Drosophila melanogaster: one gene and its partner. The protein of the gene in region 1 interacts with the protein of each later gene in a pairwise test. Each region holds a gene or a part of one and is shown on either strand. Other genes may lie near its edges.

Evidence for each region.
Region 2: the proteins of rib (region 1) and CG17195 interact in a two-hybrid assay, tested with the Drosophila melanogaster proteins (one large-scale study listed by BioGRID).

The regions. Positions count from the first base shown.
Region 1 is NT_033778.4:19,268,109-19,272,039, reverse strand, and holds the start of rib (ribbon), read right to left. Parts: upstream 1,963-3,931; 5' UTR 1,254-1,962; intron 1-1,253.
Region 2 is NT_033777.3:25,775,717-25,779,470, reverse strand, and holds CG17195 (uncharacterized protein), read left to right. Parts: upstream 1-2,272; 5' UTR 2,273-2,289; coding exon 2,290-3,141; 3' UTR 3,142-3,195; downstream 3,196-3,754. Other genes in the region: CG4956 (uncharacterized protein), read left to right, coding at 1,242-2,150; CG17196 (uncharacterized protein), read left to right, coding at 3,265-3,754.

The DNA of each region.
Region 1 (3,931 bases):
CTTCGTAGAGCGATGGTGGTGTTGGTGGGTCCGCTGGCGGGGTTATGGTCGGGGGGAGGGTGGGGGGCGGACTACGAATGGGTCATTGCACTTTTGCAACGCACTCACAGATACGAGAGCATAGCATACAACACACAGATACAGATACATTTACAGGGCCGACAGATAGCAAAGCAAAAGGCAACATTTAAACGAGAATTGTGTAAAAAAGGCACGAAAAATTAGGCGAAAGCAAACAGAAAGAAGGCGAAACAGGAAAAGAGGGGAAGAGCGGCACAGGGGGAGCTGGGTGAAGAGCGGGAGAAGGCAAACAAGATACAGATACATCTGTGCATGTGTGCAAAGTGTGTGGGGGAAGTGGCGATGGGGGGCTACCAGTGCAACTGCAACTTTGCATGGGTCGGCCATTTTGTGATCGTTTTCGCTGGCGCAGATACAAAGATATAATCTTTACAGTGAGAGAAAAGTTTATTGACAAACCTTTTAGTGTAATTTACGAATTACATATATATTATATATATTAAATACCCCATAATTCTCTAAGAATATATGTTTTCTTTAGTTTTGCTTGTGAGAAAAGTCAAAATTGAGTTGTTGACACATAAAAACAGTGCGTAAATTAAATTTTTTCTGTGTGCTAAAGACTTTATTTCTATGGGGCGTATGGCGTCAGATATAAAACTGATGTTTGCAATGATCGTTTGTATGTAACTCAAATCGCGTTTCCCGGGCGACAGTCCCTTCACGTACATATGTACATATTTATTTATATGTATATGTAGATATGACAAAGTCGTTGCAGATCCGGCCGTAGATATGCATATGCATAGATATAGATACAAAAGTACATATGCTCTCCATGAAGCGCGCAGATACGAATGCGTTGGCTATAAATAGCGAGCCATGCCATTTGTGCCGCCAGCGCCACTCGAGTGTGGCGGTTGCAGTTGCAGTTTGCCGCTCAATGAACATGTGGAAATTCGGGAAATGGAAAGCCGACGACCACGCCCCCGTTAAGTACAGGCTAGCATTTTTCGAGCGGCGCATGGGGTGCATTTTCCACGATGTTTTCACCAAAAACACGCTCGCACACAAACGCACGCACAAATGCGTTATTTTATTTTTAGCAATTTGAGGGAAATTTCAAGTCGAGCGTTGTGAATTTTTGTTCGAATTTATACGGCCATGGTCACATGGCAAGGGAAGGTGGGGGCGAAACCGCCCTCCATAGAATACGTCTGTGTTGTACTTACCTTGTTTTTCCGCTGTTGTTTTATTCACTCCATGTACATATAGTATCTGCAAGATCCAGCGACGTTTTTCGGGGTTTGTTGAGTGCGTAGAACACGTTTTACAAATGTATCTGCTGGCTGATCAGAACGCCGATTCTAACCATAATTCGATTCACATTTTCGCACATAGTCTGGCCACGTTTTCACTGGTCCTAAGTCAGCCAACATTTTAACCGGCATTATTGTGTGTTTGCTTCGATTTTCACTATATTTCACTGCAGTTTTCTTTGGTTTTTTTTTTGGCTTGGATCGAAGTGAACTCTTTGCCTTCGAATGGCAAAATGACGCAAAGTTACTAAACAACGAAAAAAATAGTATGAAAAAAGGGCAATACAACTGATTCTCGGAAGTGTTTCAGTATTCACAAGCATTCGGATGGGCACATATAACCGTGTATCTGTGTATCTGTTAGTTCGTGTATCTCGAAGGGCGGGGCAGGGTTGGCAGCGGCGATTTACATGTGTCGCTCTGCTGTAAGTTCTGGACAGACCGCCAAACTTCTGCGGCGGTACGAGCACTGACCTTGAGTTCAGGCGTTTACCAAAGGGACTGCGAGTGGAACTGGGCTTCTCGGTTTCTCTGTTTCTGAGTGGGGACTGTATAGCCGACTGAATCTGTTTTTTAATTCTTTCGCCGATTCTCGACTGCAGAGAGAGAGCTCCGCAAAAATGGCGTGTGTGTAGAAAAAAAGCTTCGACTGTACATAATATACTAGTACATAATGCCACTGACTCACAAATTGAGCAAAAAAGCAAAGTTCCCAAACTAGCGAAAAAAAAATAAATATAAATTTGGGCCTCTGGAGGGGGGAAAGCTCTTTCGTCGAGCATAGAATTATCATCGGCCCTTGGGCCCACGTAAGAATTTTGCAAATATATCAACACAGTCATGAGTCGAAAACAACAATCGACAAATAAAAAAATAACCCGCCAGTTGGCCGCTTGTTTATCTGTGAAGCGCTTTTCAGGGTCACTCTTGATTATTACACAATTTTTGTTTACAGCAAAATGCGGCGCAAATTTTTGTAATCTATATTGGTATGTGTGTGTGTGTGCGTGCGTGTATGGTTTTGGTTCTCGAGTTGAGTTTGTTGTTTACCACGAAAACAAATTCGGTGGGCCAGGGTCAAAAAGCGGCTACGTGAAAATGCGGAAGGACGGATCGCTCAATGACAATTACAGTGAAAAGCCTTGCTAACCAATGAGCGCAGAATTGTTGTTCTATTTAAAGTGTAGAACCATTTAGTAAATGCAAAAAAAAAGATATTATGAAGTCAGAATCTTAAAAATGAGCTATCTATCTATCTATTTCTATCTCTCAGATAGATAAGTGGTGGAAGTATCTGATGGATTTAAAGGTAAAGGAAGCCCTTTAAATATTTTACCCCAGACGTGAAAGCAACAAGTTGCGTCAACAGAACCACAGCCCAAACCCAAATCCCACTCACATAGATACGTTTACACACACACTTTGGTGCGAAAGCACGCCAGAATTGAGTAACAATAACAACATTCCCGCCGTCCCTAAACTTGAACTTGAATTTCGCAGCGAAAACAAAAATTCAAGAGCAAAATGCCGGCAAAAAACAACAAAAAGCGTAAAAAAACAACGCAAAAACTAGTTGCAAACAATAACAATTTCGCGTAAACAGTCAGATGCTCTCGCTCCCTCGCTCTTTGGAACCGATGGTGACCGAAGTGGAGCCGAGGGTCTTCGGTTGCCGCTCGGCAAATTGTGCAAGCTTTCGATTCGCTTTTGCGACTCGCGAATTCCCCCGAAATTCGCAAGCCGACCAATCAGAGAGCATTTTTGCACACAACAAAAAGAGCAAAACGAAAGCTTTTCGCCAAGTGTGTGTGCGCTGCTTTGTCGCAAGTATAGGTGAGCGGGCTTTTGCTTATTTTTGGCACATCGCGTATCGCCATTTTTGCGCAAAAAGTCAAAAGCTGTCTTGACGTCGTGTTTTGTCGCTTTGAGGTGATTTAAAGAATCGCCAGACACGTGGTTCTTAGTTGGGGAATAGAACACGAATGCGCGGAGCTTACTGGGCGAAAGAATCTAACCGGGAGAATTCACCAGCCACGCAGAAGAGCTTTCTGGAAAGATCGGGAGCTATAAGACTTGTTGTGGTCTTGGTAATGACGTTTAAGATCTGGAAACATTACATATAGCATTTAGTTTTTCGATAACTTCTTAAAACTTACCTTTATTTAAAGAGTGGTTATACGATTTCGTATAAAGCTAATCGATCCATTATTGCCAACTTTTTAAAATATATAACTGCTTACATGTTTCTTTTTCTGGTATATGAATTACTGATAATTTCCTGTTTTTATTCAATATTAAGTGCGTGATAAGATCACTAAACCATTGTTACCATAACCTTGAATAAATTTAACATAGTTTACGAAAGTCTAGTGCGATTAGTATTATAACATTCTGCAAGAGAAAGCTTTTATAAATTGTTTATTCATTAAGCTTTGCACAATAATAGAGCAGAAGAGATTTCTTTCTGTTACTAAAATTTTGGCAATAAACAAATTCCGATGAATTTGCTTCTCTTATGTATATATGTAAGCTTTTCTATGCAAAGTATCTAGTCAGCTTTACTGACATTAGAATTTTGCGAAGCAAAGCTT
Region 2 (3,754 bases), on another chromosome or scaffold:
GTAGTTGAGAGTCTCCGCTCGTAATGAAATCAAACAAAGACACCGAATGCGAGCTGACTGCCATGGGGGCAAAGCATCTTAAATTAGCAGCAAAACTCGGCAATTATGCGAGAACTTGGCCAAAAGCAGTTGCCAACTCCGCAAGCCATTCTCATTTTTTGTATGCCCCTCCACCTACACCAAGCAAATGCTAATGACTCGTAGTGCCCACAGAAAGTCAAAGAAAGAGCTAAGCGAAAGTGGGGGAAAGTCAAGCCACAGGTTGACTGACAAACACATCGACGGCGCCGAGTGGCTGCCGGAAATGGCTGCGTCGAATAGCAGCACAAAATGGCTGTTTGTTTGCTTCCGGTCTAGGCCAAAGACGGCAAACACATTTAGCCACGAAGTGAGGAAAGTCCCGCCCCGCCCCATCGTACATATTTTATGCAAACGAAAAGCAAACTGCCACTCTACTTTACGGCAAAAAGAAAAACCACCTCAATAGGTGTGCCATACACCTCAGTGAACTTAAAATGAAAAACCGCGTCCTCACCAGCTTTCCCACCCGACCAGGCCACATTCAAAATGCTTAGTTCATATTAATAATTCATAAAAATTTATGCGAAATAGACAACATTCGTTCCTGCGGTCTAAACCTGGCCGACAGCTGCCATTTTGCGGTCGCTGGGCTGATGAAGTCGACTTAACCCAGCTGTTTCCTACATGTATTTGATATGCATTCCTCGTTGTTTTTATTCTGCTCTTTGTTTATACAACATACAGCTGCTGCAAAATACCATATTTTGCCATGCTGATGCCCTTTTTCCCTCCATTGTTTTTTTTATTTCAATTTATTTTCTGCTTATAAGCTTGCTTTATAAGCAAGGTTTTGCCTATACTGCTTTGAAAATGAAGTAAAAATTTGAGAAACTTTTAGGTGAAAACATTCCATAAGCCAAATCTTTTGAATTGTAGAATTCACTTAGAAGCGCCACTTAAATAAAAATTTTCTGCCTTCACAAATGACGCCAGCAATTATAAAACGTAATTTCGCAATAATCCGCTTAAAAAGGAAAAGAAATTGAATTTGAAACCACCCACCAAAGTACACATACATACAATGCCAGATTTTTACAATTCAGTGGGTGATGCGATTATGTCAGTTAGATACATATTTCCAAATCAAGGCAGTTCTGGTGCCCAAAGTCTATTAAAAATAATTTATTTGATAAATTTAACAATACGTCTGTCATTTATAAATGCTTCGATTTCGAGTTTTATTAAGATCTACTTGCGGTTGGAGTAGAAGAATGTGTTTTCGAGCCGAGGAAGGGTTTCATCGTCACTTTCAACTACATCGCATAAAAGTTATGGGCCTACTTCATCCGTTTTGTGCAATATTTTTACTCTGTCTGATTGGATTGCTGTTTGTCTATGAATTATGCTACGTTTTGCCGCAAATAACTGATCCCCATGGTATATGGCACAAATTGTGTTGGTTTATGGGAATTTATACAGTCATCAATATATTGGGCAACTGGTGGCTCGGCTGTATGACCAATACCTCAGTCGATAGCTTAGTTCTGGAAAGACAGTATCCTGTGGCAGGTGAGGCTCACCTGTGGCACTACTGCTCCACATGCCAAAAGCTGGTGCCACCGAGGTCCTGGCACTGTAGTTTGTGCAACATTTGCATTCTGAAGCGGGATCACCACTGCACCTTCTTTGCCAGTTGCATTGGCCATAAAAATCAGAGGTATTTCCTTGCCTTCTTGTTTCACCTGAGCTTTGGCAGCGGACAGGCGCTCGTCTACAATGGCATTTTGAATTGGACAAACAAGGCCTTTTTGGTCGTCGATCCTTTGTTGCTAATGTTCCAGGATACAACCCAAGATGCTGATTTCAAATGGAAGTACACAATCGCCAACCTTTTCAAACTGAATTTATTTCTTTTTGGCGTCCCCCTCTTCATGTTCGTCTTTCAAATGATAATGGTATATCGGAATAGTACATGCTATAAGATGCTCGATCGCAGCTATGATGTTGGTTGGAGAAGAAATTTTGATATGGTCTTGGGAAAACGGCGCTTCTGGATTTTTTTCTCTCCAACGATCTCAAGTCCTCTTCCTACCGATGGCACTCAGTGGTTCCAGAAGCAGACAGTGTAAATTTTGTTTGTAAAAACTTTGAATATAAGATAGCGAATAAATTCTATTATAATATGTCGGGTTGGCGTTTCTTCTTCTGTGATGTAAATGTTTCTATTTAGTCTATAATTTACAACAGAAGTTTTCAAAATCCTAAAAAATGTGCTACGTGAATAGATTTTGCCATTACTTTGCCAATCGCTACCCGAAGAACTTTGTGAGGATAGTGCATCCACTTTCGATAGTTTTCGTCCTGTGCAGCACAGCTTTCTTCTTCTCACTGCAGATGTTTTACATTGCGCCCAAAGTGTTTGGCGACATTGCTTACAAGCTCTACTGGATATTGGTCACCTTCATAACGCACAACATACTTGGTAACATGCTGGCCTGCTATATGACTAGCTCATCGGTAAACACCTTGTCCAAGGACTCCCGATGCCCGAATCCAGAGGATGAGCCCCTGTGGCACTATTGCGAATCGTGTAAAAAGCTGAGATCGCCACGATCCTGGCACTGCGTTTTGTGCAACACCTGCATTTTGAGACGGGACCACCACTGTATATTCACGGGCACTTGCATTGGACACAATAATCAACGCTTTTTCTTCTGGTTCACATTTTATTTAACGCTCGGCTTAGTCACAAGCTTTGCAACATTTTGTATGTTTATCCTGCAGAATGGCGGTAACTTCATGAGTCTCTCGTCTGTGATTTTTAATTTAATAACTAGGACTTTTTTCCAAAATTATACTGGCAATACTTTTGAGACCATTGCCTTCCTCTTGAATATAAGCGCCAGCTATATGCCTGCCTTTATGTTGGCATATCAAATGCAGATTTTAAGCCAAAACTCTACCTACTATAATATTTTTGATTGCACCTACGATCTGGGTTTCCGAAAGAACTGCCAGACAATAATGGGCCAACGAGGACTTTGGACTTTTATATCGCCCTTGCTGAAGAGTCCTTTGCCCCATGACGGTGCACATTGGCAGATGAAGCAGTCTCACTAAATTAATAGACGTATTACTAAATTATTGAAAAATATATATCGATTTTAACAAGCCAATCATAACTTATTTTCATCTAATGTCAAGTTGTGGAAAATACGGTGTTGTATTCAAAATCCTACAATCATGTGTATCGTAAATGATTGGTGCCGCGAATATGCCAATCTCTATCCTAAGAAGGCCGTGAGCATAGGACATCCTTTGTCAGTGATTTTTTTACTGGTGAGCACGGTTTTTTTCTTCACGCTGCAGGTCTTTTATGTGGCCCCCGATGTGCATGATGGTTTTATGTATAAGTTCTTTGTGATATCAGCGATTTTTACAACATACAATATCCTGGGAAACTTGCTGGCCTGCTACCGTACAAGCTCAGCAGTGAAAAGTCTGCCTCAGGAGCGGCAAATTCCGAAACCGGGAACGGAGCACCTGTGGCATTATTGCGATATCTGTCAGAAACTGATGCCTCCACGATCCTGGCACTGTGCACTGTGTAAATGCTGCATTTTGAAGCGAGACCACCACTGCATCTTCGCAGCCACTTGCATCGGACACAATAATCACCGATATTTCTTCTGGCTTACATTCTATTTGGCATTTGGGATTTTCATGAGCATGG